Linked DNA regions of Anolis sagrei. The protein of the gene in region 1 interacts with the protein of each later gene in a pairwise test. Links are inferred from orthologs where the notes say so. Each region holds a gene or a part of one and is shown on either strand. Other genes may lie near its edges. The genes, in order: TASOR2, KLHL40, ERH and NEK6.

Region 1 (7,944 bases):
ATTTTAAAAATACTGTTAATATTTAATTCTATTTTAAATTGTATTGGTTTGACTGTCAGCCACTTTGTGTCACCTTTTTTGAGAGAGAAAAATTGAGGTATAACTAATAATAATAATTACCATTGCATTGCAACATTCTGCTGGGTGTCAAACTGTGTTAATTCTACTGTGTAGACCAGGCATGGGCAAACTTCAGCCCTCCCTCCAGGTGTTTTGGACTTCAACTTCCACAATTCCTAACAGAAGGTATTGCCCATGCCTGATAGAGATGCAACCTGGCTCTTCTTGCATGTTTATCCCTTTCTTGCAACATGGACATTCCCTCCATGGCTTCCATCCCCACATTCTAAAAACACGTATGTTTTTGACTGGTCTTTATTGACAGACTTCCTTCCCCTCCCCTCTTTCTTTCGATTTGCAAAGCAAGTTTACTCCTTCCAGCTTTCTGTTTCTCTTTTCAAAGCTAGATTAGTCTCTCCCTCCCTCCCTTCATCTAGCTTTTCTTTTTGGAAAGCCTGCTTAGTCCCTCCCTCTTCCTTCCTTTGAAAAGGCAGTTTAGTGTCTCTTTCTTTCTTTCCTTCCAAAGGCAGTTTAGTGTCTCTTTCTTTCTCTCTCTCTTTCTTTACAAAGGCATTTTAGTGTCTTTCTTTTTTTCTTTCTTTCCAAAGGCAGTTTAGTGTCACCATCCCTCTTCCTTCCTTTTCCTTCCTTTCCAAAGGCAGTTTAGTGTCTCCATCCCTCTTCCTTCCTTCCAAAGGCAGTTTAGTGTCTCTTTCTTTCTCTCTCTTTCCAAAGGCAGTTTAGTGTCTTTCTTTCCAAAGGCAGTTTAGTGTCTCCATCCCTCTTCCTTCCTTCCAAAGGCAGTTTAGTGTCTCTTTCTTTCTCTCTCTTTCCAAAGGCAGTTTAGTGTCTTTCTTTCCAAAGGCAGTTTAGTATCTCCATCCCTCTTCCTTCCTTCCTTCCTTTCCAAAGGCAGTTTAGTGTCTCCATCCCTCTTCCTTCCTTCCAAAGGCAGTTTAGTGTCTCTTTCTTTCTCTCTCTTTCCAAAGGCAGTTTAGTGTCTTTCTTTCCAAAGGCAGTTTAGTGTCTCCATCCCTCTTCCTTCCTTCCAAAGGCAGTTTAGTGTCTCTTTCTTTCTCTCTCTTTCCAAAGGCAGTTTAGTGTCTTTCTTTCCAAAGGCAGTTTAGTATCTCCATCCCTCTTCCTTCCTTCCTTCCTTTCCAAAGGCAGTTTAGTGTCTCTCTCTCTCTCTCTCTTTCTTTCCAAAGGCAGTTTAGTGTCACCATCCCTCTTCCTTCCTTCCTAAAGGCAGTTTAGTGTCTCCATCCCTTTTTCTTTCCTTCCTTCCTTCCCTTCCTTCCTTCCAAAGGCAGTTTAGTGTCTCTTTCTTTCTCTTTCCAAAGGCAGTTTAGTGTCTTTCTTTCTTTCCAAAGGCAGTTTAGTGTCTCCATCCCTCTTCCTTCCTTCCTTCTTTCCTTCCAAAGGCAGTTTAGTGTCTCTTTCTCTCTCTTTCTTTCTTTCCAAAGGCAGTTTAGTGTCTTTCTTTCTTTCCAAAGGCAGTTTAGTGTCACCATCCCTCTTCCTTCCTTTCCAAAGGCAGTTTAGTGTCTCCATCCCTTTTTCTTTCCTTCCTTCCTTCCTTCCTTCCAAAGGCAGTTTAGTGTCTCTTTCTTTCTCTTTCCAAAGGCAGTTTAGTGTCTCTTTCTTTCTCTTTCCAAAGGCAGTTTAGTGTCTCTTTCTTTCTCTTTCCAAAGGCAGTTTAGTGTCTCTTTCTTTCTCTTTCCAAAGGCAGTTTAGTGTCTCTTTCTTTCTCTTTCCAAAGGCAGTTTAGTGTCTCTTTCTTTCTCTTTCCAAAGGCAGTTTAGTGTCTCTTTCTTTCTCTTTCCAAAGGCAGTTTAGTGTCTCTTTCTTTCTCTTTCCAAAGGCAGTTTAGTGTCTTTCTTTCTTTCCAAAGGCAGTTTAGTGTCTCCATCCCTCTTCCTTCCTTCCTTCCTTCCTTCCTTCCTTTCCAAAGGCAGTTTAGTGTCTCTCTCTCTCTCTTTCCAAAGGCAGTTTAGTGTCTTTCTTTCTTTCCTTCCAAAGGCAGTTTAGTGTCTCCATCCCTCTTTCCTTCCTTTCCAAAGGCAGTTTAGTGTCTCCAACCCTCTTTCTCTTTCTTTCTCTCTCTTTCTATCTGTCCATCCATCCATCCATCCTATGGCAGTTGGATGGATGAATTATAAAGGCAGTTTCATGTCTCCACCCCTCTTCCTTCCTTCCTTCCTTTGCAAAGGCAGTTTCATGTCCCCATCCCTCCTTCCTTCCTTCCTTCCTTCCTTCCTTCCTTCCTTCCTTCCTTCCTTCCTCTGCAAAGGCAGTTTCATGTCTCCACCCCTCTTCCTTCCTTCCTTTGCAAAGGCAGTTCCATGTCCCCATCCCTCTTTTCTTCCTTCCTTCCTTCACAAAGGCAGTTCCATGTCCCCACCCCTCTTTTCTTCCTTCCTTCCTTCCTTCCTTCGCAAAGGCAGTTTCATGTCCCCATCCCTCTTTTCTTCCTTCCTTCCTTCCATCCTTCCTTCGCAAAGGCAGTTCCATGTCCCCATCCCTCTTTTCTTCCTTCCTTTGCAAAGGCAGTTCCATGTCCCCATCCCTCTTTTCTTCCTTCCTTCCTTCTTTCCTCTGCAAAGGCAGTTTCATGTCCCCATCCCTCTTTTCTTCCTTCCTTCCTTCCTTCCTTCCTTCTTTCCTCTGCAAAGGCAGTTTCATGTCCCCATCTCTCTTTTCTTCCTTCCTTCTTTCCTCTGCAAAGGCAGTTTCATGTCCCCATCTCTCTTTTCTTCCTTCCTTCCTTCCTTCCTTCTTTCCTCTGCAAAGTCAGTTTCATGTCCCCATCCCTCTTTTCTTCCTTCCTTTGCAAAGGCAGTTCCATGTCCCCATCCCTCTTTTCTTCCTTCCTTCCTTCCTTCGCAAAGGCAGTTTCATGTCCCCATCCCTCTTTTCTTCTTTCCTTCGCAAAGGCAGTTTCATGTCTCCACCCCTCTTCCTTCCTTCCTTCCTTCCTTCCTTCGCAAAGGCAGTTTCATGTCCCCATCCCTCTTCCTTCCTTTCTTCGCAAAGGCAGTTTCATGTCCCCATCTCTCTTTTCTTCCTTCCTTCCTCTGCAAAGGCAGTTTCATGTCCCCATCCCTCTTTTCTTCCTTCCTTCTTTCCTCTGCAAAGGCAGTTTCATGTCCCCATCTCTCTTTTCTTCCTTCCTTCCTTCTTTCCTCTGCAAAGGCAGTTTCATGTCCCCATCCCTCTTTTCTTCCTTCCTTCCTTCTTTCCTCTGCAAAGGCAGTTTCATGTCCCCATCTCTCTTTTCTTCCTTCCTTCCTTCCTTCTTTCCTCTGCAAAGGCAGTTTCATGTCCCCATCTCTCTTTTCTTCCTTCCTTCTTTCCTTCTTTCCTCTGCAAAGGCAGTTTCATGTCCCCATCCCTCTTTTCTTCCTTCCTTTCTCTACAAAGGCAGTTTCATGACTCCACCCGTCTTCCTTCCTTCGCAAAGGCAGTTTCATGTCCCCATCCCTCTTTTCTTCCTTCCTTCCTCAGCAAAGGCAGTTTCATGTCTCCATCCCTTTCTTTCTCTGCAAAGGCAGTTTCATGTCCCCATCCTTCCTTTGCAAAAGCAGTTTAGTGTCGCCATCCCTCCTTCCATCATCAGTTTAGTCTGTCTTCCTCCCTTAGCCAGTTTAGTCCTTCCCTCTTTCTTTCCATTCCTGTCTTTGCAAAGCTAGTCCCTATCCCTCCCTCCCTCCATTTATCTATCATATTTGCAAATGCAGTTTAGTACCTCCCTCTTCCTTTCTTTTTTGCAAAGCCAGTTTAGTCCCTCCCTCCCTCTTCCTTCCTTCCTTGCAAAGCCCTTCCTTCCTTCCTTCTTTACTTTATTTCTCTGCAAAGGCAATTTCATGTCTCCATCCCTCTTTTCTTCCTTCCTTTGCAAAAGCAGTTTCATGTCTCCTTTCTTTCCTTCTTTCTTTGCAAAAGCAGTTTAGTGTCTCCATCCCTCCTTCCATCATCAGTTTAGTCTGTCTTCCTCCCTTAGCCAGTTTAGACCCCTTTCTTTCTTTTCCTATCTTTGCAAAGCTAGTTTAGTGTCCCTATGCCTCCCCCCTTCCATCCCTTTATCTATCATTTTTGCAAATGCAGTTTAGTCCCTCCCTCTTCCTTTCTTTTTTGCAAAGCCAGTTTAGTCCCTCCCTCTTCCTTCCTTTGCAAAGGCAGTCTCATGTCTCCTTCCTTCCTTCCTTTGCAAAAGCAGTTTAGTGTCTCCCTCCCTCCTTCCATCATCAGTTTAGTCTGTCTTCCTCCCTTAGCCAGTTCAGTCCTTCCCTCTTTCTTTCCTTTCCTGTCTTTTCAAACCAATCCCTATCCCTCTCTCCCTCCTTCCATCCCTTTATCTATCATTTTTGCAAATGCAGTTTAGTCCCTCCCTCTTCCTTTCTTTTTTGCAAAGCCAGTTTAGTCCCTCCCTCTTCCTTCCTTTGCAAAGGCAGTCTCATGTCTCCTTCCTTCCTTCCTTTGCAAAAGCAGTTTAGTGTCTCCCTCCCTCCTTCCATCATCAGTTTAGTCTGTCTTCCTCCCTTAGCCAGTTCAGTCCTTCCCTCTTTCTTTCCTTTCCTGTCTTTTCAAACCAATCCCTATCCCTCTCTCCCTCCTTCCATCCCTTTATCTATCATTTTTGCAAATGCAGTTTAGTCCCTCCCTCTTCCTTTCTGTTTTGCAAACCCAGTTTAGTCCCTCCCTCCCTCTTCCTTCCTTCCTTCCTTGCAAGTCCTTCCTTCCTTCCCTTTTTCCTTTTCCCAGTTTAGTCCCTCCCTCCCTCTTTCTTTCCACCTTTCTTGCAAAGCCCTTCCTTCCTCCTTCCTTTTTTCCTTTTCCTCCCTCCCTCCCTTCCTAAGAGTGCACCCAAATGTGCATTGCATCAGTTCCCTTTCTGCAGGAAATGCCAGACGCCTGGCCCAGCCAAGGCGGGGACTCCTTCCGGGTCAGTTTTCACTTTCTCTCTGCCTCTCTTGCCTTCGCTTTGTTTTCACTTCCAGGGCAAAAGAGGCTTCCCTCCCCCTCCCTTCCCTTCCCCCCCTTTGCAAAGAAGACTGGAGCAGCAGACATGTTTCCTAGCCTGGCCTTGGCGCATTTCTCCAGGGTCCCAGGTTGCATCCCAGGTTGAGTTGCAGTCCTTGCAAGAGAGAGATTTTTGCAAAGAATTATTTGCAATTTTTGGAGGGTTTTTTGCTTGTCTTCCCTTTGCGACATTGCAAGCTATGGGGAGACTTGGGTGAGACCTCGATTTTGGTTTAAATCTATGTTTTATGACTAGGATTTTTTAGGAATTCCATATATTTATATATCTCCTGCTCCCCTTTTTTGCATCCTTTGCAATTTCCTCTTTTTTTTTGCAACTGGGTGCATTTTTTAAAAGCAAAACTCGGGTCTATCTATCTATCTGTCAATAACTGAGACAGAATTTCCACCGGATCCGTCTCGTGTGAACCCAAAACGAAGTGAATCACTCACTTGCAAGAATCGGGTTTCCTAATTGGATCCAAAGGGAGACCCAGTTTTTTCCCCCCTGGGCCATGGGAAGGCTCCAAGGCTTGAGGACCTGGACACGTGTTGATGGTGAGTGGGAACGTGTGGACGGGAGGACACGTGTCAGGGAGGTCGGGTGGACTCCTGGGTGCATTTACACTGACCCCACTTGGGAGTGTCATGGCTCAGTGAGGTGAGAGTTGTAGTTTTGCAAGGTCCCAGTGGGCACAGGATGCCACCCGAGTGGCTTGGTTCCAGCCCAGTTTCGGTTCTTTTTCCCCCTTCTCTCCTTGGACCAGGCTGGGCTCCAGGGCCGAAGTTTGGTTTCGGTCTCTGGTTTCCCTCGCCAGGCCCTGCCTGGGTCTCCTCGGAAGTCAGGCCCAAGGAGGAAGGAAAGGGAAGGGGAAAGGGAAGCAGGATGAGGGAAGGAAGGAAGGAAGGAAGGAAAGAGCGAAAAGGGAGGGAGGAAACTTGGAGACAAACTAGGAAGGAAGGAAGGGAAGGAGGGAGAAACAAAGAGGAAAGGAAGAAAGGAAGCAAAGAAGGGAGAAACAAGGAAGGGAGGAAAGAAAGGAAGGAGGGAAAAAGAGGAAGGAAAGAGACAACCTAGGAAGGGAGGAAGGAAAGAGGGAGAGGAAGGAAGGGAGAAACAAGGAAGGAAAGGAAGAGGAAACAGGAAAGGAAGGAAGGAAAGAGACAACCTAGGAAGGGAGAGGAAGGAAGGGAGAAACAAGGAAGGAAAGGAAGGGGAAACAGGAAAGGGAGGGAGGAAGGAAAGAGACAACCTAGGAAGGGAGGAAGGAAAGAGGGAGAGGAAGGAAGGAAGGAACAAGGAAGGAAAGGAAGGGGAAACAGGAAAGGAAGGAAGGAAAGAGACAACCTAGGAAGGGAGGAAGGAAAGAGGGAGAGGAAGGAAGGAAGGGAGAAACAAGGAAGGAAAGGAAGGGGAAACAGGAAAGGGAGGAAGGAAAGAGACAACCTAGGAAGGAAAGAGGGAGAGGAAGGAAGAGAGAAACAAGGAAGGAACGGAAGGGGAAACAGGAAAGGGAGGGAGGAAGGAAAGAGACAACCTAGGAAGGGAGGAAGGAAAGAGGGAGAGGAAGGAAGGAAAGGAAGGAAGGAGACAAACTAGGAAGAAATATGAGAAAGGAAAGAAGGAAGGAAGGAAACTTGGAAGTAAGGAGACAAACTAGGAAGGAAAGGGAAGAAAGAAGAAACAAAGGAGAAAATGGAAGGAAGGAGAGAAATAAGGAAGGTAGCTAGGTAGGAAGAAACAAGGGAGGAGACGAACTAGGAAGAAACATGAGGAGGGAAAGAAAGAAGGAAAGAGAAGAAAGGAAGGAAAAAGGGAAAGGGAGGGAGGAGGGAAAAGGAGGAAGGAAACTTGGGAGGAAGGAGACAAACGAGGAAGGAAGGAAGAAGAAACAAAGGAGGGAAAGGGAGGAAGGAGAAACAAGGAAGGAAGGCGAGCAACTAGAAAAGGAGAGAAATAAGGAAGAAAGGAGACAAACTAGGAAAAACATGAGAAAGGAAGGAGAATGAAGGGAGAAACAATGGAGGGAGGAAAGAGGGAAAGGGAGGGTGGAAGGAAAGAGGAAAAGGGAGGAAGAAAACTTGGGAGGAAGGAGACAAAATAGGAAGGAAGGAAGAAGAAACAAAGGAGGGAAAGGGAGGAAGAGAGACTAGAAAGGAAGGAGACTGAAGGAGAGAAATAAGGAAAGTAGTTATAAAGGAAGGAGACAAACTAGGAAGAAACATGAGAAATGAAGGAGAAGGAAGGAAGGAGAGAAACCAGGAAAGAAGGAAGGAGATAAACTAGACAAGAAAGAAAGAAGGAAACTTAGAAAGACAGAAAGCTGTAAGGAAGGAAAAAGAAGTGGAAGGAAGGAAGAAGAGAAAAACCAAGAAGAAAAGAAGGAGATAAACTGGCAAGAATGAGGGGGAGAACTAAGAAAGTAAGGAAAGAGATGGAGGGAGGAAACTTGAAAGAAGGAAGGTTAGAAGAAAGGAGAAGCAAGAAAAGAAGGAGAGAAACTAGGAAGGAAAGGAGGGAAACTTGGAAAGACAAAATTGGAAGGAAAGAAAGGAAACTAGAAAAGAAAGAAGGAGAGGAAACTTAGAGGGAAGAAGAGAAAGTTGGAAAAAGGAAGGAAAAAGAAAAACTAGGAAGAGAAGGAGAGAAGCTGTAAAGAAAGAAGGAAGGAGAGAAGGAAGGAAGGAGAGAAAGTTGAAAGAAATGAAACAGGAGGGGAAGGAGGGAGGGAGGGAAGGAAACTAAAGAAGGAAATGAGAAACACCTGGAAGGAAGAGAAACTAGAAAGAAAGAAAGAAAGAAAGAAAGAAAGGTGAGAGTTGGAAGGAAAGAAGGAGAGGAAACTTAGAAGGAAGAAGAGA
Region 2 (7,857 bases), on another chromosome or scaffold:
CGAGGCCGAAGAGACAACGCGGAGATGGAAGAGGCGGCATCCCAAGCCAGTCTGAATCCAGGTGGTCATACTGCAAAGAAGTAGAAGGCAACCATGGAGATAACAGGTGAACCATCTTGAGATATCACTTAGGACCCTTTGACACAGCCATATAACCCAGAATATCAAGAATATCCACAATATCTGCTTTGATCTGGATTATCTGTGTCCGCATTGCCATATAATCCAATTCAAAGCAGATAATGTGGGATTTTATACAGTTGTGTGGAAGGGGCCATAGTGTTATTTAAAGACTCACATAACTAGTAAATGTTTTGCTGAGATATATAATGCAAGGAGATCAGATGAAGCAACTCCAAGAGTTGGTCATCAGAGTTCTACTTAAAAACCACTAATCAAGGGGAGTCCATTACCCGCTGGGATAGTCTATCCCATGCTCGCCAAAATACAGATCGGATAATCCTGGTTTTAAATGTTATGGGGTTCCTGGAAATATGGAACCCCATAACCCCAAGGGTGCTTTGAAAGTAATCTAATTCTCAATGTAGAGCACATCCATAGCATGTCAAGTGCATGGCTACCCAGACTCTGCTTCAATACCTCCAGCAAAAGAGTGGAAATCATCAATCACTTTTCAAATGACTACTTGGTCAGATTAAGCCACAGCCCACTAGCATTTATGACTGGTCGGACCCATTTGATTTTTATGTCTCTTGAAACCAGAGTATCTCTCTAAACACCAAATGCTGGGATCACATCAGTTTCTATTGTCACCTGTCACTCATTGTAATCAGGATGCTGAGCGGGACAATCCTTTTCTCCAATCTGGGAAGGGATTTGTCCCCCTTTTCACACGTAAATCACAGTATCAAACTGGTCCCAGTTTGGGAGGCACAGCCCTGATTGATCCTGTCATCCCATTTTCTCATCTGTTTTTCCAAAATGTCCCAGTGGATCTTTCCTCCTCCCAATTTCTCCTTGCTTTTATCCACTCCAGCAAACTGAGGCCCCTTCCAAACAGATGTATCAAATCCACATTGAACTGGATTATATGCTAGTGTGGACTCAGATAACTCAGTTCAATGCAGATATTGTGGATTATACATATGGCTGTGTGGGAGGGACCTGAATTCAAAGTATGGATGTAGTTTTCAGATGAGAAGGAGAAGAAGGCACCATCTTGCCCTTCCCAGTAGGCTTTGGCAAAAGCAAACTATTGATGCATTCTTCTTCATTATAAAGTTTTCCCAACTTGACTGCATTCTTATATTTCTTGGTTCCCTTCCACACAGCCCTATATCCCAGAATATCAAGGCAGAAAATCCCACAATATCTGCTTTGAACTGGGTTGTCTGAGTCCACACTCAGATAATGTGGGATTTCCTACCTTGATATTCTGGGATATAGGGTTGTGTGGAAAGGCCCTAAGTTGTATGCATTTTGGTTTTCATTTGTGAAATGTTGGAAATTTTGCAGTATATAGATATTTGTCAGAGTAATCTCCGCCCTCCCAATATGATACGTGAAAGAGGGAGTCAAACTAAAGCTATGCCATAAAGATTAAAATCACTTGGGGTTGACTCCCCATTCCAACAAGAGACGAATACAGCTCTTGGTTCAAAAGCAGAAATATGTGCATTGGGAGGAGTTATCCATTACCTGCAAGAAATAGGAGTTCATTGGATCTTCTTTATTGTCCTCATTGTAGTAAAGTCCCCCTGCTATGAAGACCTGGTTCTCGCGGGTGACCAGGCTGACGTGGTTCTTTGGGATCTGGGCAGAAAGTGAGGCGTAAAAGCACTCATTGGCTGACGGGTCATAGGCCACCGCCCCCGAGTCACTGACCATGAAAATGAGATCTTGAAGAAACATCCCAAACCTCATGGTGTCATTCAAGATCCCTGGGAGACCTTCCTCTGCTTCCTCCTCCTCCTTCTCAACACCGTCTTCCTCTACTCCTCCATTGATGACATTGTCCCCAGCCTTCTTCTCCCCTTTTTTCTTCACTCTTTTCACCACTGCAAATTTCCCTTCATGGGCGTCCTTCACCATCTGCAACTTCTTGAGAAGTTCTGGGCTGGACTTGACCAGAGGGTGCTTCTCCACATGATCCTTGAAGTAATCCTTCTCAATGAGGCGAAAACGGATGCTGTCAAAGACCACTGGCAGGGCCTTTGCTCGGCTCTCCCGGTCTTTGGTTGTGGCCCATTTCATCACCACCTCAAAGACGGACTCTTCCTTCTCGATATTCAGGGAATCACTGGAGATGATGGCAATGAGTTCATCGGGGGAGAGCTGGAAGAATTCCTCATCCCGGGAGATCAAGGCAAAGCGGTCACAGATGAAATCCCGGGCAGCGACTGCCAAGCGGGCACAGTCCAACATCAAACCCAGCCTGAAAATGGCCAAGCAGTTGCTGAGGCAAAGCCGCTTCTGAAGGAAAGAGACACAGACGGTGAAAATGGAAGGGATCTGGAACATGTTGGCCACGGAGAAGATATCCTGAACGTTCTGCTCGGTGAGCTCCAGTTCTGAGGTGTAGATGTAATGGAGGATCTTGCCCATGACGTCTGGATCCACATCTTCTAAGCTGATCTCCCTTTTCTTGCTCTCTTCCATATCCGAGAGGAACATGGCCCTGAAGTAAGGACTGCAAGCTGCCAGGACCAAGCGGTGACATGGAAACTCCTTCCCTTTCACCTTCAGGACACAATCCAAGAACTTGTTGTGGTCCAGCAAGTCCTTGAGACCATCTTGAAGAAGCGTTTGCTGGTAGAGACGTAACTCTTCCGCTTGTTCTAAGGAGACGGCCATGGTTGAAAACTTGTCTGGTCTTCTTCGTTGACCCGGTCTTCCAGCTCTTGTGAACCTGGGAGAGCTCTTTCTTGATTCCTGATGGAGCGCTGACCAAGAATATGAGCCTGGCTGCTTGTCCAGCTGGCTGTGTGGCTCAGTTTCCACAGCGCGAGGGGTTTTTATATATATAGCCACGGCGTTACAAAGCTTAGGGAATCCATTCGGGAGCATGTGTAAGCCGATCACCTTTTAATATGACAAACTGGCCCACCAGGGAGGGATGGCTCTTGCGGAAGGGGAGGGGGACGACACAAGGAGCAACAGCTGTAAGTGTAATTCTAGATCTATGACAGACGCTGTCACGATGATTCACTCAGGAGAGGTATATTTCTTTTTCCTGAAGGTCTTTCGCCCCCAGCCCAAGACTTGTGAGCAGCCCCTCTAGGAACAAGTTACGCCTTGGAGTAAATCACAGCAATGAAGGCTCTAAAATCAGTTATGGGATCTGTGTTTGGGTTCATATCCTTCTATCCCTCTCTTCAGCACATGCACACACATTGGAGCGTACCCACAGATGCCACATCCCTGCTCTCGCCTTCTAAATCCAGCGCAAGGCTTAATGTGCTAAAAATATACTGCAAAGTCAGAGTTGAATAAACAGGGAAGAAATGCCTCTGATTATTTGTTGTGGCATGAGGACATCTCTCTCTCTTCCAAGTCGCGGAGGCTATTGATCATAAATTTGATTCATTGCTATATATATATATATATATATATATATATATATATATATATAATCATAGAATCAAAGAGTTGAAAGAGACCTCATGGGCCATCCAGTCCAACCCCCTGCCAAGAAGCAGGAATATTGCATTCAAATCAGCCCTGACAGATGGCCATCCAGCCTCTGTTTAAAAGCTTCCAAAGAAGGAACCCCCACCACACTCTGGCGCAGAGAGTTCCACTGCTGAACGGCTCTCACAGTCAGGAAGTTCTTCCTCATGTTCAGATGGAATCTCCTTTCTTGTAGTTTAAACCATTGTTTCGTGTCCTAGTCTCCAGGGAAGCAGAGAACAAGCTTGCTCCCTCCTCCCTGCGGCTTCCTCTCACATATTTATACATGGCTATCATATCTCCTCTCAGCCTTCTCTTCTTCAGGGTAAACATGCCCAGCTCCTTAAGCCTCTCCTCATAGGGCTTGTTCTCCAGACCCGTGATCATTTGAGTCGCCCTCCTCTGGACACATTCCAGCTTGTCAATATCTCTCTTGAATTGTGGTACCCAGAATTGGACACAATATTCCAGGTGTGGTCTAACCAAAGTGGAATAGAGGGGTAGCATGACTTCCCTGGATCTAGATACTATGCTCCTATTGATGCAGGCCAAAATCCCATTGGCTTTTTTTGCCGCCACATCACATTCCTGGCTCATGTTTAACTTGTTGTCCACGAGGACTCCAAGGTCTTTTTCACACGTACTGCTCTCAAGCCAGGCATCGTCCCCCATTCTGTCTCTTTGCTTTTCGTTTTTCCTGCCAAAGTGGAGTATCTTGCATTTGTCACTGCTGAACTTCATTTGTTAGTTTTGGCCCATCTCTCTAATCTGTCAAGATCGTTTTGAATCCTGCTCCTGTCCTCAGGAGTAAAGATGTTGAACAGGACCAGGACCAGGACGGAACCCTGCGGCATTCCGCTCGTCACTTCTTTCCAGGATGAAGAGGAAGCATTGGAGAGAATCACCCTCTGGGTTCGTCCATTTAACCAATTCCAGATCCACCTCACCATAGTTTTGCCTAGCCCACATTGGACTAGTTTGTTTGCCAGAAGGTCATGGGGGACCTTGTCGAAGGCCTTCCTGAAATCCAGGTACGCTACATATATATATATGGTTCTGTGCACATGGCTGTTCCAAGTATCTGGATGTTTCAGAGGAGAGGTTATATCCGATGCCACCTCAGGTACAGCAGAGTAAAGATGCCATGTAAAATAAACTTTTTACAGTCAAACCTTCACTTTGGACCTAGAGATTCATAGAGAGGAGTTCTTAAAGAGCTGGGCATGTTTAGCCCGCAGAAGAGAAGGCTGAGAGGAGACATGATAGCCATGTATCAATATGTGAGGGGAAGTCATAATAAGGAGGGTGCAAGCTTGTTTTCTGCTGCCCTGGATGCAATGGAGCAATGGCTTCAAACTACAGGAAAGGAGATTCCACCTGAACACGAGGAAGAACTTCCTGACTGTGAGAGCTGTTCAGCAGTGGAACTCTCTGTGCCGAAGTGTGGTGGAGGCTCCTTCTATGGAGGCTTTTAAACAGGGGCTGGATGGCCATCTGTTGGGGATGCTTTGAAAGTGATTGTCCTGCTTCTTGGTAGGGGGTTGGACTGGATGGCTCACGAGGTCTCTTCCAACCCTAGGATTCTATGATTCTCACTAGCACTGCCTGAACATCAAGCAAAAAGTGGGTGCTAGAAACAATATCATACGAAAGCTGACTGGCACAACTTGTGGATCACAACCAGACACAGTAAAGACATCTGCCCTTGCGCTATGCTCCTCTGCTGCTGAGTATGCATGCCCAGTGTGGAACACATCTCACCACGCTAAAACAGTGTATGTGGCTCTTAATGAGACATGCCGCATTATCACGGGGTTTCTGCGCCCTACACCACTGGAGAAACTACACTGCTTAGCCGGTATTGCACCACCTGACATCCACCGGGAAGTAGCAGCCAATAGTGAAAGGACCAAGGCAGAGACATCTCCAGCTCATCCCCTGTTTAGGTATCCGCCAGCACGTCAACGACTTAAATCTAGAAATAGTTTTCTAAGATCTACAGAGACACTCGCTGGAACGCTTCAGCAAGCGAGAGTCCAAAAGTGGCAGGTTCAAACCCAGAACCTGAACCAATGGCTGATACCAGATGAGAGACTCCCTCCTGGGCACACAGAAGACTGGGCGACTTGGAAGGGGCAGAACAGACTGCGCTCTGGCACCATGAGATGCAGAGCCAACCTCAAGAAATGGGGCCACAAAGTGGAATCCACATCATGCGAGTGTGGAGAAGAGCAAACCACTGACCACCTGCTGCAATGCAATCTGAGCCCTGCCACATGCACAATGGAGGACCTTCTTGTGGCAACACCAGAAGCACTCCAAGTGGCGAGATACTGGTCAATGGACATCTAATCAACTACCAAACTTGCAAATTTTGTGTTTTGTCTGTCTGTTTGTTTGTTTTGTTCTGTTAGAAATGTAATACAATTCACTGGTTGCCCTGACACGACAAATAAATACTAGCAATCTCTCGGTACTCCAGCACAACTCTTTAGTAAACATCCAACTGAAGTTGTAGGATGACCTAGAGTTTCTTAGAAAGCCTATATTAATTAAACCAGTGAATGATGAACTCTTCAATAGTTCAACACTTTAACTGCCATATCCCAATGCTATGGAATAGTGGGAGTTGTAGTTTTACTAGGTCTTTTGCCTTCTGTGATAAGGCACTTAGCCATGTTAGTTCAAGTGGGGTCAAACTGCATTAATTCTACTGTGTAGGTGCACTCTCTGTTTGTTGTTGTTGTTGTTGTTCATTCGTTCAGTCGTCTCCGACTCTTTGTGACCTCATGGACCAGCCCACGCCAGAGCTCCCTGTCGGCCGTCACCACCCCCAGCTCCTTCAAGGTCAGTCCAGTCACTTCAAGGATGCCATCCATCCATCTTGCCCTTGGTTGGCCCCTCTTCCTTTTGCCTTCCACTTTCCCCAGCATAATTGTCTTCTCTAGGCTTTGCTGTCTCCTCATGATGTGGCCAAAGTACTTCAACTTTGTCTCTAGTCTCCTTCCCTCCAATGAGCAGCTGGGCTTTATTTCCTGGAGGATGGACTGGTTGGATCTTCTCGCAGTCCAAGGCACTCTCAGCACTTTCCTCCAACATCACAGTTCAAAAGCATCTCTCTTCCTTCGCTCAGCCTTCCCTAAGGTCCAGCTCTCACATCCGTAGGTGACTACAGGGAATACCATGGCTTTGACTAGGCAATGGATCTTTGTTGTCAGTCTGATGTCTCTACTCTTCACTATTTTATCGAGACTGGACATTGCTCTCCTCCCAAGAAGGAAGCGTCTTCTGATTTCCTGGCCACAGTCTGCATCTGCAGTAATCTTTGCCCCTAGAAATACAAAGTCTGTCACGGCCTCCACGGTTTCTCCTTCTATTTCCCAGTTGTCAATCATTCTTGTTGCCATAATCTTGGTTTTTTTGACGTTTAGCTGCAACCCGGCTTTTGCGCTTTCTTCTTTCACCTTGATTAGAAGGCTCCTCAGCTCCTCCTCGCTTTCGGCCATCAGGGTGGTGTCATCTGCATATCTGAGGTTGTTAATGTTTCTTCCAGCAATTTTCACCCCAGCTTTGCATTCATCCAGCCCCGCACATCCTCGCATGATGTGTTCTGCATACAAGTTAAAAAGGTTGGGTGAGAGGATGCAGCCTTGCCGGACACCTTTCCCAATCTTGAACCAGTCTGTTCCTCCGTGGTCAGTTCTGACTGTGGCTCCTTGGTCCTTGTACAGATTCCTCAGGAGAGAGGGAAGGGGGCTTGAGGTGCCCATCCCACCAAGAACTTGCCACAATTTATTATGATCCACACAGTCAAAGGCTTTAGAATAGTCAATGAAGCAGAAGTAGATGTTTTTCTGAAACTCCCTGCCTTTCTCCATTATCCAGCGGATATTGGCAATCTGGCAATTGGGCACTCTCTGTAGTTGCCCAATAATTAATTACCTTCTCCAACCTCATCTGGATGCTTCAGACTACAGCACTTACCATCCACAGGCAGTCATTGTGGATGATGGGTATTGTAGTCCAACACATTGAAATGCCACATTGAGGAAGACTGATTTGGAATATTGCTATTGACAAATTAAACCTAAAGGAAGTCAACCTGGCTCAGATGATGGGTGCATCTACACTGTCGACTTAATGCATTTTGACCCAACATTGACTGCCATGGTTCAGTGCTATGGAATCCTGGGAGCTGTAGTTTAGTGAGGCACCCGCACCTTTGGG
Region 3 (6,970 bases), on another chromosome or scaffold:
CAAGATTAACTGTATTTCTTTTGGAAAAACCAGAGATATAGAACCAGCTTTTTATTTAGCCAGTCAGAAAAAATAAGGTCATCCAAGCAAGTAAGTAACTGCCTCTGTAGCTCATAGATACATCAAGAATGCTGGGAAGTTTGTGATCTATGATTTATGCAGGCCTGGTGGTAGACATTATGGATATCAGAGTGAGAGAGAGAAAACTTCGCACACTGCTATAATCAGCATAATTTCCACATTGCATGTTACTTTTTACCCATTAGTATATATATTATAATAATCTACAGTGCTCCCTTGAGTGTTCTCATTCTGCTACAATCCCATATTTCCCTAGAAGCTTCACTGACCTCAATGAGACCCATTTCAGAGTACATATATATAGACTGAAGTATATACAGGCAGTCTCCAAGTTACAAACAAGATAGGTTATGTAGGCTTGTTCTTAAGTTGAATTTGTAAGTTGGAACAGGTGCATTTTTAAATATAACACCTGCCAAAAATACATCTATATTAGCTTATGATAGCATAGGGAAGGGTTAACACCATTGTGGTGTATGCTTTGCTATCTGTTTTGAAAAGATTTTACTCAGAAAGTGCTTACTGCCATACAGAAGTAATCCTAGGTAATCCCACATCACTCAAGATTTTCTTTTTAAGGAACCAGAGCTTTTGTCACATCTTACGCCTCAAATAATTGAACCCAATCAGAATTATGCAATATAGATCAGAGCTAACTGGAATGTGCAGTTTTCTCTCTCCTGGTAGACTTTCAGAGCATCTGTTCAATTCCTTATCCTTAAGATCTCCTACTTGTTTCCTTACTCCTTTTAAGAAGCCTACTCCTACTCCTTTTTACAAGAGTGTATTTCCCATCCACTGAAACTTTATCCACTAGGGATGCATCTAGACTGCAGAATTAATGCAATTCGACTTCACTTTAACTGTCATGGTTCGATGCTATTGAGTCCTGGGAGTTCTAGTATCTCAAGGTCTTTGCCTTGCGGAACTACATTTCCCAGGATTCCATAGCATGGCAGTTCACAGAATCATAGAGCTAGAAGTCCACAAGAGCCATGCAATCCAACTCCTTGACATGCAGGAATACACAATCAAAGCTGTCCCTATGGACAGCCACCCAAGATCTGCTTAGAAACCTCCAGAGTTGGAGATTCCATCACATTCTGAGGCCACTTCTACATCTAAAATCCAGATTATCCGCTTTGAACTGGAGTATATGGCACTACAGACTCATAGAATACAGTTCAAAACAGATAATGTGGATTATTTACTTTGATAATCTGGATGATATGGCAGTGTAGCAGGGGCCTGAGGCACATAAAGAGCTGTTCATATTCCTGTTGAACAGCGCTTACTGTCAGGAAGTTCTTCTGAATGTTCACATGGAATCTTTTTTCCTATAACTTGAATCCATTGTTTCTCCTAGGCCTCAGAGCTGAATTTTCATTTATTTATTTCTATCTTGCCTTTCTCCACCCCGGAGGGGACTCAAGGCGGCTTTCACTTAGGCAACTATTCAATGCCTTCAAAGGCAATGTACAAATAAAATAAACCTTTAAAATAGAATTATATGATACATTAAAACATATAAAACAATACCTTCACTGTTAACCACGTTATTTATCACGTCAGAAGGTAACTGAAGACATAATTATAATGTATTTAAAACCACAAAGGAAGTTTAAAAACTTGGCATTATTCTAAATGTCCTTTGAACAGGAGCTGTTCATTTGGAGTGCCTCTGGTGTTGCTATGGGAAGGTCCTTTGCTGTGCATACGGCAGGGCTCAGGTTGCATTGTAGTTGGTGGTCTGTGGCTGCAGCATACAACCAAACCACTGAATAAAATATCACATTATCTGCTTTGAATTGTAATATATGTCAATGTGGGCTCAGATAACCCAGGTCAAAGAAGATATTGTGGGATTTTCTGCCTTGATATTGTGGGTTATATGACTGTGTGGAAGGGCCCCTAGTCTCCAGAGCAGCAGAAAACACGTTTGCCATTTCCTCAATGTGACATCCTTTCACTTATGAAACATGGTTGTCATGTCCCCTCTCAGCCTTCCTCTCTCCAGATAAACATCCCTAGTTCCCTCACCTGCTTCTCAAAGAGCTTTGTCTCAGATCATTTCAGTCATCTTCTCCAAGCTGAACATAGTATCAAAGTGCGCTGATTCGACAGCATAGAACAGGTATGGACAAACTTGGCCCCTCCAGATGTTTTGGACTTCAACTCCCACAATTCCTAACAGCCCCAGTACTTTTCCTTTTCCCCCTCAGCTGCTTAAGGTACACTTGATCTTAAACAAAGGCTGAGGGGTGATCATAACCTACCAACACATACATTAGCCACAGGATGGGATATTAAAGCCAGCAAATTGTCTGAATTGCACATAATAGGTTTTTAGCACAATAAAGGTAAATGTAGCTGCAGAAGGTATTCCAGTAAAGTAATAGTAAGGTCAGTTTTCTGAGTGTCAAGCCATAACTGGTTCAAATGGGAGCTTGGCTGAATAGCCTGGCCCTCCACCATTTGTATTTAAGGTTTAGGGGTGAAGTATCTTTTATGGGTCCAATTAGTGCATCATATTCTCCTAGTGCTGTCATCCAGAGTGGGATCAGTGTCACATTTGGTAGTGACTTGTCTCCCAGTTAGATCTATAGCACTACCCCCCCCCCCCAAGCAGGTTCATGAGACCCTCCAGATTGTTCAGGTGGGATTGATTGATTTGATCGTTTTAACTAGTAATAACTGTTGATGTTAAATTGTAAATTGTACTTTGTGAATTGTTGGGCATCGAATTGTGCCTTTTCTAAGCCGCCCTGAGTCCCCCCTAGGGGGTTGAGAAGGGCGGAGTAGAAGCACTCCAAATAAATAAATAGGAATTTAACAGAGATCTTTCTAATTCTGTACATGTCCCAGTTTTTGGCAAAAGCATCAGTACAGCCCTCATTATGCCTAAAACGCTGAAGCAGCTGAAGAGGAAAAAGAAAGGGCCTGAGACTGTTAGGAATTGAAGTCCAAAACATCTGGAGAGCCCAAGTTTGCCCATGCCTGGTGAAGAAGCACTCCTTTCTTAACACTCTGATGTGAAAAGGGAGAACAGAGCAGTGAGAGAAGGCCTGCTTACCTCGGAAAAGTTTACGGCTAGCGGGATGATGCCTGCCACATAGCAGCCCACCAGCATCGCTAGAGACAGCAGGCTGATCGACAAGAAGTCGTCCATGGCCGGCTCCTCTTACGTTACAGTTTCCCAGGGAATTCCAGAAAGGGAAGAGGCCTCATGGGCCCGAAACACCCGGGGTGGGCGGCAGGAAAGCGGGCAGCACTCTGCTTCGAGGCTGGGGGCCCTTCTCTAACGGAGGGCGGGCGAGAAGAGGCACGGGCGAGAAGAGGAAGCTCGCCAAGGCCCTCACACAACCTTCCTGAGGAGGAGAAGGGAGGAAGTGCCTCAGGTTCAGGCCCCGGGCCCTCACCACCTGCCCCTCACTGTCCCACCGCCGCCACTGCGAGTGGAGTCCTCCTCCTCCGCCTCAGAAGCGGCCATCAAGGGCCAAGTGGCAGCTTCTCCCTCACTTCCTCTTCCCTTCCTTAACTTCCGGAACACTTGGCAGTGAAAGAGAGGCGTACGAGCGAGCAGGCCTCGCTGGATTCGCTCCTTTCTTTCCCGCCCAATTTTAAGATGGCGGCGAAGCGAACGAAGGTCAACGCCGCCCCGCCCACCGCTAGCCATTCCTAAGGCGGGCCTCGACTACACTACTCCGGCGCCCTGACCAAAGATGGCCGCTTTCGTCTCCCGCGCGAGGAAAAGTCAACGCAGAAGTGAGATCTCGCGAGGCTGGCGCTGTTGACGCTCTACCTCCTGCGGCTCTCCTCAGAAAACGGTGGCACCTCTATGGTTCTCGTGCGGGATTTGGAGTCTACAGTCAGTTTCCGGCGGCCGCGGAGCATTGTGGTTGAGAAGTCGTTAGGAGTTTGCTTCGCGCCCGAGCCGAACAGAAAAGAATCGCCATGGTGAGTTCAGAGAGGGGGTTTTGAGCGGCGAAGAGACTCGGAATTGACTGAAGGAGGCGGAGGCTTTTCGCTTGGTGCCTCGCAGTTCACTTGAGAAGGCTTCGGGCCTAAAGGCGAGGAGGCAATGGCGAGGGGCGAGGGTCGGTCTCTACAAAGCCTATTATGCGTGGCCTCTGAGAAACAGCGAAGCCCTCCCTCCTCGCCCTCCCAAGACTTCCCTAAGTCGACCTTAGCGAGACAGAGTGCATCCACACTGGAGAATTAATTCAGTTTCACGCCACTTTGACTTCCATGGCGCCATGCTATGGAATCCTGAGAGGTAGCAGTTTCGTGAGGTGCCAGCACCGTTTGGTAGAGGACGCTAAGGACCGTGTAGAGCAGGCAAGGGCAAACTCTGGCCCTCCACGTGTTTTGGACTCCAACTCCCATCATTCCTAACAGCCTCAGGCCCCTTCCTTTTCCCCCTCAGCCGCTTAAGGGACACAATTCGTAGAATAGAATCAAACAGTTGGAAGAGACCTCATGGGCCATCCAGTCCAACCCCCTGCCAAGAAGCAGGAAAATTGCGTTCAAAGCACCCCTGACAGATGGCCATCTAGCCTCTGTTTAAAAGCTTCCAAAGGAGGAGCTTCCATCACACTCCGGGGCAGAGAGTTCCACTGCTGAACGGCTCTCACAGTCAGGAAGTTCTTCCTAATGTTCAGATGGAATCTCCTTTCTTGTAGTTTGAAGCCATTGCTCCGCATCCTAGTCTCCAGGGCAGCTGAAAACAAGCCTCCTTATGATTTCCTCTCACGTATTTATGTATGGCTATCATGTCTCCTCTCAGCCTTCTCTTCTTCAGGCTAAACATGCCCAGCTCTTTAAGCCACCCCTCATAGGGCTTGTTCTCCAGACCCTTGATCACTTTAGTCACCCTCCTCTGGACACATTCCAACATGTCAATTGTGGTGCCCAGAATTATTTATTTATTTATTTACTGCACTTGTAGACCGCCGTTCTCAGCCCTGGAGCGACTCACGGCGGTGTAATTGGACACAATATTCCAGATGTGATCTAACAAAGGCAGAATAGAGGGGCAGCATTACTTCCCTAGATCTAGACACTATACTCCTATTGATGCAGGCCAAAATCCCATTGGCTTTCTTTGCCGGTGCATCACATTGTTGACTCATGTTTAACTTCTTGTCCACGAGGACCCCAAGACCTTTTTCACACGTACTGCTCCCAAGCCATGCGTCCCCCATTCTGTATCTTTACATTTCCTTTTTTCTGCCTAAGTGGAGTATCTTGCATTTGTCACTGTTGAACTTCATTTTGTTAGTTTGGCCCATCTCTCTAATCTGTTAAGATCATTTTGAATTCTGCTCCTGTCTTCTGGAGTATTGGCTATCCTTCCCAAATTGGTGTCGTCTGCAAATAGAATAGATGGTGAAGTTGAGATTTTATGGACCGTAATTTGGACTGATGTGGAGGATGTTTTAAACCCGGTAAACTGTTTTTAATGTATATTTAAAATCATTTAATGCAATTGTGTATTTTATTGCTGTTTTTATATTGTATTAACATCGAATTGTTGCCTGCTGGTAGCCGCTCTGAGTCCCTCCTCGGAGGTCGAGAATAGGACGGAATATAAATGTTCTAAATAAATAAATTCGAATTGTGTATGAATGAAACTTGGGAGCATCCATGGATTTTGTTGTCTACAGGCATCCTGAGACCAAACATAATGGGCCATGCTATTGTAGTCTAAAGCTGTAGGTTCTCTTATGTAAAACCATGCTAGTAAATTGTATATTTTGTAAAAATTTATCTTAAAAAGCATTTCACACACTCCAAATGAGAAAGATTTCTTTAAGAGGTCTTTTTGCTGGACTCTGAAAAAGAACCCACTCACAAATTATTATTTTTTTATTCAGTGTATTTCTTCTAGTAAAATATATGCTTGATTATTTTCCTTAGAGACAGAACTTGTTAAAATTAGTAATAGGTATATCCATAATTTAAAAGCAATGTATTGAACCAAATATATTATATATATCAGGATTTCACCTGTGTACCCATAATAGATGTGTAGTTGGGCTACTGTTATATGTGCAATTAACTGAGAGTAAGCCTCATTTTTTGACCTTTTACTTTGTGAACATAGCTGTTCCACATAGTCTACTACTTACTAACTGGCATGCTGTACTGATCAGAAACTTTCAATGAATGACCAAAGCAGTCCCATGTTCCCACGTAGAAAGCTTGCAATCATCCTAATATTTAAAAATAATTTCATTTGGCAAGCTGCTAGCAGTTGGCACTTCAATAAATAGCTTGTCTGCTTAACATTCTAGTTGTCAAGAGTATTTTTCCAAATCTTCATTTTTAAATATATATCACATTTCTTTCATTCTAAGATGCACTTTTCTCTCTTTTAAATACCTCTAAAAGGGGGGTTCACATTAGAATCATGCATATATATATATAAAGCTTTGTTGTTGGTGGTACTGAAATTAGTGTGAAATTGCATCTTATTTTCTGCATGTGGCCATAACATACATTCAGTTAAATTCTATTCTCTATCATGAAATTTTCCCATTGTGCAATACATCCTTAAAAACAAACCTATTTTACGTAGAAAATTAAAATAGGACAGGGCGGGGGAAATAGCCATTGTTCTTCAGTGTTTGCATTATTTTTGTATGATTAGTACACTTCAGCATTTGATGTAAATAACATGCTTTATTCTGGTACATTCAGAAGTCTAAATAAATGTTGTGTTTGCTTTTGTACAGTCTCACACAATTTTGCTTGTTCAGCCTACCAAACGACCAGAAGGCAGAACTTACGCTGATTATGAATCTGTGAATGAGTGCATGGAAGGTAATATTCCTGCTGTAGATTACTTGATGCTAAATCAATGTTAAAAGTTGGGGATTCCTTTTAA
Region 4 (7,523 bases), on another chromosome or scaffold:
TAAGAACTGGGAAGTCCTGGCCCTTGAGCACTCTAACTGGAGGTCAGCTGTGACCAGCAGTGCTGCAGAATTCAAAGAGGAACTAACGGAAGGCGAAAGGGAGAAACGAGAGCGTCTGGTCTTGCAAAGCCCTCTTATAGTGCCGAAGTTTATTAAATATGGTATTCTGTGGGCGAGCAGATGGCGACTACTGGGTGGCATATGTCCTGTAGCAGAAACTTGAGCTGATGTGGTCTACCCAATGCAGTTTTCTGAATCAGCACCCCAAATAACCAAACCTAATCTAAAGTTGACCAAAAACTGATTCGTAAGCTTTTTGGTACTAATGCTGGAGAGTGGTCCCTGTGGAAGAGCAGACTACGGGATGGCATATGTTCTGTATCAGAAACTAGAGCCGATGTGGTCTATCACAGGCAATTTTCAAAACCAGCACCCCAAATAACCAAACCCAATCTTACATTGACCAAAAACCGATTCATAACCCTTTTGGTACTTATGTTGGAGAGTGGTCCCTGGTTTTCTCTGGCCGAGCAGATGGCGACTACTGGATGGCATGTGTTCTGTATTAGAAACTGGAGCTGATGTGGTCTATCCAATGCAATTTTCTGAATCAGCACCCCAAATAACCAAACCAAATCTAAAGTTGACCAAAAACTGATTCGTAACCTTTTTGGTACTAATGTTGGAGAGGGCAGCAGAACACCAACCTGACTCCCTGTTCTTTAGAACATCTTTTCATATACACTGCCATATAACCCAGTTCAAAGCAAAGCATGTGGATTATCTGCTTTGATAATCTTTGTTATATGGCAGCGTGGAAGGGCCCTGAGTCTACGCTGCCGTATAACACAGTTCAAAGCAGATCATGTGCTTTGTTTGCTTTGATATTCTGGGTTATATGGCAGCATAGAAGGGGCAACTAGACAACTAGGCCCATTACACACAGCTATATAAAATCCACAAGATCTGCTTTGAACTGGATTATATGTCCATGTAGACTGAGGGACCTTCTCACAGCCATGTATTCATTTATATGCCCATCCCCCTCCAAACACCCCACCTTGCCATGCTCAGCACTTTTTAATTTGAATTATTACATTTGGCCCGGCCATTGTTTTTAATTGCGTCATTAGATGTTGTTAATGTTATTGCTTTGTTTTTTTGTTTTTTTGAGTTATTGTGTTGTTGTTGCTGCTGCTGTTTTTATTGTTGTATTTGGGCTCGGCCAAGCCACATTATTATTATTATTATTATTATTATTATTTACGGCATTTATATGCCACCCTTCTCACCCCGAAGGGGACTCAGAGTGGCTTACTATATATATATATAGCATAGTACAATATAAGTATTATATATTACTATATTGTACTATACCATTATATTGCTACAATATTAGTAATATTACATGTAATATAAAACCTATAATTATAATATTGTATTATGTAACCCTGAAAATCAAGGCACAATGTCCACAATGCCTGCTTTGAACTGGATTATACATGTGTGTAGACTCAGGGGCCTTCATCATAGGCATCTAACCCTGGAAATCAAGGTAGATCGTCCACAATGCCTGCTTTGAACTGGATTATACATGTGTGTAGACTCGGGGACCTTCATCACAAGCATCTAACTCTGGAAATCAAGGCACAATGTCCACAATGCCTGCTTTGAACTGGGTTATACATGTGTGTAGACTCAGGGCCCTTCATCACAGGCATGTAAACCGGGAAATCAAGGATTGGCGAAAGGGGAAGAGTTACCTGAGTCCAGACTGGCATTTAACCCAGTTTTACATAACTCACCTGGAAATGACACCATGCCAGATTTGATCAGTTCCCATTCTGACGTTGGAGAGATTAACAATGTCATGGATTCAGCCATTGGATATAACGACTGCATCCCTGTGTCAGGTGGCTGTTCCATTGTAACTGTAATGTGGATGGGATACAGCTGTGTGGAGGGGGCCCAAAGGGAGACCCAGGGCGCCCCAAAGGAGTAAACAATCAACATCCATTGGCATTCCTGACTCAGGGCCCTTCAACACAGCCATGCAACCCAGAATCATAGAATCAAAGAGTTGGAAGAGACCTCCTGGGCCCTCATCCAGTCCAACCCCATTCTGCCAAAAAGCAGGAATATTGCATTCAAAGCACCCCTGACAGATGGCCATCCAGCCTCTGCTTAAAAGCTTCCAAAGAAGGAGCTTCCACCACACTCCCTCCGGGGCAGAGAGTTCCACTGCTGAACGGCTCTCACAGCCAGGAAGTTCTTCCTCATGTTCAGATGGAATCTCCTCTCTTGTAGTTTGAAGCCATTGTCCCATTGCGTCCTAGTCTCCAAGGAAGCAGAAAACAAGCTTGCTCCCTCCTCCTCCCTGTGGCTTCCTCTCACACATTTATACATGGCCCTCATCATGTCTCCTCTCAGCCTTCTCTTCTTCAGGCTAAACATGCCCAGTTCCCTAAGCCGCTCCTCATAGGGCTTGTTCTCCAGACCCTGGATCATTTGAGTCTGCCTCCTCCTCTGGACACATTCCAGCTTAGAGTCAAGATCTCTCTTGAATTGTGGTGCCCAGAATTGGACACAATATTCCAGGTAAAGTGGTCTAACCAAAGCAGAATAGAGGGGTAGCAGGAGGCCTGCTTTGAACTGAGTTACCTGAGTCCAGACTGGCGTGTAACCCAGTTCCATGTGGAAGGGATACAGGTGTGTGGAGGGGGCCCAAAGGGAGACCCAAAGAAGTAAACAATCCCCCTCCATTGGCATTCCTGAGGGCGGGGGTGTCCTTGGGGGAGGGAGGGAAGGAGGAAGACCCGCCCCCCTCAGAGGGGGGAATGATTGACAGCGAGGGTTTAAAGGGGAGGGGGGGCTTTGGAGTGAGGGGAACTCAAGGGAGGGAGGGAGTTGAGGTGAAGAAAGAAGCCGAGGCCTAAGAGGCCAGGCCTGCCTTACCTGCCCGGAGAGGCCTGGCTGAGAGAGAGAGAGAGAGGCCCAGGCGCGCTCCCTTCCACTCTCTGTCTCTGAGGGGGAAACTCCAGGCCCAGGCGCGCCCCCGAGGCACGCCCCCGCCGCCGCGCGCCCCCGCCCCCTTCCGGGCAAGAGCCAGCAGCACTCCAAACTCTCTTCTCACAGGGAGCGTGCGCGCTCGCGAGAGAGAGAGAGGAGAAGGCGTGCGTGCGCCGTGCGTGCGCGCTCCCGACCCTCGCTAAGAAGCTTGCCACGCAGGCCGCTCCTTGCTAGCCCCGCCCCCTACTTTCCGCTCCTGTCTCAGAACTCAAGCGTTTCTCTCTCTCTATCGCGCATGCGTGAGAGGAAAAAGACGGCTTCGTCGTGGCCCCGCCCCTTCTCGTTTCCCTCCAAGACTGACACACATTCTCTCTCTCGCATGTGCGCATGCGTCTGAGAAAGAAGGAGTCAGGGAAATGAAGGGAAATGGGGCGTGGTTTCCTTGTGGTCCCGCCCCTTCTCGTTTCCCTCCAAGAGTAACACACATTCTCTCGCGTGTGCGCATGCGTCTGAGAAAGAGGGAGTCTGGATTAGAAAAAGGAAATGAAGGGGAGAAAGGGGGCGTGGTCTCCTTGTGGCCCCGCCCCTTCTCGTTTCCCTCCAAGAGTAACACACATTCTCTCGCGTGTGCGCATGCGTCTGAGAAGGAAGGAGTCAGGGAAATGAAGGGAAAGGGGGCGTGGTTTCTTTGTGGCCCCGCCCCTTCTCGTTTCCCTCTAAAACTGACACTCTCTCGCGTGTGCGCATGCGTCTGAGAAGGAAGGAGTCAGGGAAATGAAGGGACGGGGGCGTGGTTTCTTTGTGGCCCCGCCCCTTCTCGTTTCCCTCTAAAACTGACACTCTCTCGCGTGTGCGCATGCGTCTGAGAAGGAAGGAGTCAGAGAAATGAAGGGAAAGGGGGCGTGGTTTCTTTGTGGCCCCGCCCCTTCTCGTTTCCCTCCAAGATTGATACACACACGCGTGTGCGCATGCGTCTGAGAAGGAAGGCTTCTGGATTAGAAAAGGGAAATGAAGGGGAGAGAGGGGGCGTGGTCTCCTTGTGGCCCCGCCCCTTCTCGTTTTACCTCTATTCGTTCCTGTCAAAAAAGACACTCTCTGGAGCGCGCATGCGCATGGGAAGGAAGGCGTCAGTTTGGTATAATTTTAAGGAGGCGTGGCTTCGCTGGTGGCCCCGCCCCCTTCTTATCCTTTCTCTCCGTTCCCGTCTAAAAGAGAGGCTGACTCGCGCATGCGCGTGAGGATAGGAAGGCGGAGCCGGATTGGAGAAATGAGGGGAGGGTGTGGGGCGTGGCTTCGGGAGTGGGCGTGGCTTATTAATGGGTCTGTTGGAAACTAGGCAAGATGCCCAGAAGGGCAGGAAGCACCCAGGCTTTGAAGCTGCAAGGGCATTCAATGCTAATTTTTTTATTATTATTATTTTATTATTTCACCTTGTCCATTTGGCCTGCCCATCTTGTTCGATTTTATTTTGTGTGAATTTGCTTTATTATTTTACTTTGCTGTTGTAATCTGGTCCATTTAGTTTTCCTGGCAAGGATACTGGGGTGGTTTGCCATTGCCTTCCGCAGGGATCACGCTTGGTCTGACCTCTCTGCCACGACCGTCCCGTCTTGGGTGGCCCTTCACGGTTTCGCTCATGACATCATTGAGGTGCTCAAGCTCCAGCGCCACAACAAGGCGGTGATCCTTATTTCTCATCATGCCAGGAAGGGAATGCTCAAGATCCTGCAAGGAAGACTCCAGCCAGACATGGAGCGAGAGAGTGGCCAGATGTTCAAGCTGGGTTTAGAAAAGGCAGAGGAACCAGAGACCAGAGTGCCAATATCCGGATGCTAGAGAATGGAGGAAGGCAGGGAGTTTCAGAAAAACATCTATTTCTGCTTCATTGACTCTTCTAAAGCCTTGGACTGTGTGAATGATCATCATAAATGGTGGCAAGTTCTTGGTGGGATGGGCATCCCAAGCCCCCTTCCCTCTCTCCTGAGGAATCTGTCCAAGGACCAAGGAGCCGCAGTCAGAACTGACCACGGAACAGGAGACGGGTTCCAGATTGGGAAAGGCGTCCGGCAAGGCTGCATCCTCTCACCCAACCTTTTTAACGTGTATGCAGAACACATCATGCGAGGATGTGCGGGGCTGGATGAATGCAAAGCTGGGGTGAAAATGGCTGGAAGAAACATGAACAACCTCAGATATGCAGATGACACCACTCTGATGGCCGAAAGCGAGGAGGAGCTGAGGAGCCTTCTCATCAAGGGGAAAGAAGAAAGCGCAAAAGCCGGGTTGCAGCTAAACGTCAAAAAAACCAAGATGATGGCAACAAGAATGATTGACAACTGGGAAATAGAGGGAGAAAACGTGGAGGCCGTGACAGGGTTTGTATTTCTAGGCGCAAAGATGAGTGCAGACGCAGACTGTGGCCAGGACATCAGAAGACGCTTCCTTCTTGGGAGGAGAGCAATGTCCAATCTCGATAAAATAGTCAAGAGCAGAGACATCAGACTGGCAACCAAGATCCATTGCCTAGTCAAAGCCATGGTCTTCCCTGTAGTAGTCACCTACGGATGTGAGAGCTGGACCTTAGGGAAGGCTGAGCCAAGGAAGAGAGATGCTTTTGAGCTGTGGTGTTGGAGGAAAGTTCCGAGAGTGCCTTGGACTGCGAGAAGATCCAACCAGTCCATCCTCCAGGAAAGAAAGCCCGGCTGCTCATTGGAGGGAAGGAGACTAGAGGGAAAGCGGAAGTCCTTTGAAGGCCACCTCATGAGGAGACAGGAAAGCCTAGAGAAGACAATTATGCTGGGGAAAGTGGAAGGCAAAAGGAAGAGGGGCCGACCAAGGGCAAGATGGATGGATGGCATCCTTGAAGTGACTGGACTGACCTTGAAGGAGCTGGGGGTGGTGACGGCCAACAGGGAGCTCTGGCGTGGGCTGGTCCACGAGGTCACGAAGAGTCGGAGACGACTGAACGAATGAACAACAACAACAATTGTAATTATCTTCCGATGTAATTTTCTTTCTGTATTCTGTATTTTATTGTGTTGTATTGCATTTTTGGGCTTGGCCTCATGTTAGCTGCCCCGAGTCCCCATTGGGGAGATGATGGCGAGGTATAAATAAAGATTATTATTATTATTATTATTATTATAAAACCCCTGTGCCGGCAGGACTGAAGAGTGACAGGTCGCAGGTTTGAATCCAGGGAGAGGTGGATGAGCTCCCTCTATTAGCTCCAGCTCCTCATGCAAAGGGGACATGAGAGAAGCCTCCCACAAGGATGATAAAAACACCAAATCATCCAGGCAATGTCCCCTGGGCAACATCCTTGCAGACAGTCAATTCTCTCACAACGGGAGCGACTTGCAGTTTCTCAAGTTGCTCCTGACATGACCAAAAAATATTATTATTATTATTATTATTATTATTATTATTATTATTATCAAGGTGACCAGCTGCACCATTCAAACGTGCCTCCAACAGACAAGAGTCCTTTCTCCCACCCTGGACATCATTCCAAAGGTATATAAGTCCAACTTGACCATTTTCTGACAAACCCCTCAACCTCTGAGGATGCCTGCCATAGATGTGGGAGAAACGTCAGGAGAGAATGTTTCCAAAACATGGAAAGGCAGCCCAGAAAACCTACAACTACCCAGTGAAACCTTATGAAGTCAATACGGACTTTAGGAGGGTCTCCCCAGTAAGAGAGACCTCTAGGACCGCACCAAAGAGAGTCCCTTGTACTTGGCAAGCCGTCAGAGAAGCCTAATTCCAGTAATTTTATTGATATTAATAATTGAAATGAGACTCTTGCCAAGGCGAAGAAGAGGCATCGAGGTTTAATGAGCGATTCAGCTGAAGCGGATGCCATTGCAGTGATCATTCACATGCAAGCATACCAGTACATTGATCAGAGGCATTGTTGTTGTTGTTCATTTGTTCAGTCGTCTCCGACTCTTTGTGACCTCATGGACCAGCCCACGCCAGAGCTCCCTGTCGGCCGTCACCACCCCCAGCTCCCTCAAGGTCAGTCCAGTCACTTCAAGGATGCCATCCATCCGTCTTGCCCTTGGTCGGCCCCTCTTCCTTTTGCCTTCCACTTTCCCCAGCATCATTGTCTTCTCTAGGCTTTGCTGTCTCCTCATGATGTGGCATTCAAAGGACTTCCGCTTTGTCTCTAGTATCTTTCCCTCCAGTGAGCAGCCGGGCTTTCTTTCCTGGAGGATGGACTGGTTGGATCTTCTCGCAGTCCAAGGCACTCTCAGGACTTTCCTCCAACACCACAGCTCAAAAGCATCTCTCTTCCTTCGCTCGGCCTTCCCGAAGGTCCAGCTCTCACATCCGTAGGTGACTACTACAGGGAAGACCATGGCTTTGACTAGGCAATGGATCTTGGTTGCCAGTCTGATGTCTCTACTCTTCACTCTTTGATCGAGACTGGACATTGCTCTCCTCCCAAGAAGGAAGCATCTTCTGATTTCCTGGCCACAGTCTGCATCTGCACTCATCTTTGCGCC

What was found.
Region 2: the proteins of TASOR2 (region 1) and KLHL40 interact in binary tests that used the Homo sapiens proteins (3 or more experiments, as listed by UniProt). The two-hybrid records come from large-scale screens. The link is inferred for Anolis sagrei from reciprocal best matches to the Homo sapiens genes TASOR2 and KLHL40.
Region 3: the proteins of TASOR2 (region 1) and ERH interact in binary tests that used the Homo sapiens proteins (3 or more experiments, as listed by UniProt). The two-hybrid records come from large-scale screens. The link is inferred for Anolis sagrei from reciprocal best matches to the Homo sapiens genes TASOR2 and ERH.
Region 4: the proteins of TASOR2 (region 1) and NEK6 interact in binary tests that used the Homo sapiens proteins (3 or more experiments, as listed by UniProt). The link is inferred for Anolis sagrei from reciprocal best matches to the Homo sapiens genes TASOR2 and NEK6.

The regions. Positions count from the first base shown.
Region 1 is NC_090025.1:194,106,039-194,113,982, reverse strand, and holds the start of TASOR2 (protein TASOR 2), read left to right. Parts: upstream 1-4,900; 5' UTR 4,901-5,640; intron 5,641-7,944.
Region 2 is NC_090026.1:127,205,051-127,212,907, forward strand, and holds the start of KLHL40 (kelch-like protein 40), read right to left. Parts: upstream 3,041-7,857; 5' UTR 3,028-3,040; coding exon 1,660-3,027; intron 71-1,659; coding exon 1-70. UniProt on the Homo sapiens protein: Substrate-specific adapter of a BCR (BTB-CUL3-RBX1) E3 ubiquitin ligase complex that acts as a key regulator of skeletal muscle development.
Region 3 is NC_090021.1:283,410,211-283,417,180, reverse strand, and holds the start of ERH (enhancer of rudimentary homolog), read left to right. Parts: upstream 1-3,931; 5' UTR 3,932-4,035; coding exon 4,036-4,038; intron 4,039-6,818; coding exon 6,819-6,906; intron 6,907-6,970. Other genes in the region: SLC39A9 (zinc transporter ZIP9), read right to left, coding at 3,155-3,250. UniProt on the Homo sapiens protein: May have a role in the cell cycle.
Region 4 is NC_090031.1:625,895-633,417, forward strand, and holds the start of NEK6 (serine/threonine-protein kinase Nek6), read right to left. Parts: upstream 3,081-7,523; 5' UTR 2,956-3,080; intron 2,684-2,955; exon of another isoform or gene 2,662-2,683; intron 1-2,661. UniProt on the Homo sapiens protein: Protein kinase which plays an important role in mitotic cell cycle progression. Required for chromosome segregation at metaphase-anaphase transition, robust mitotic spindle formation and cytokinesis.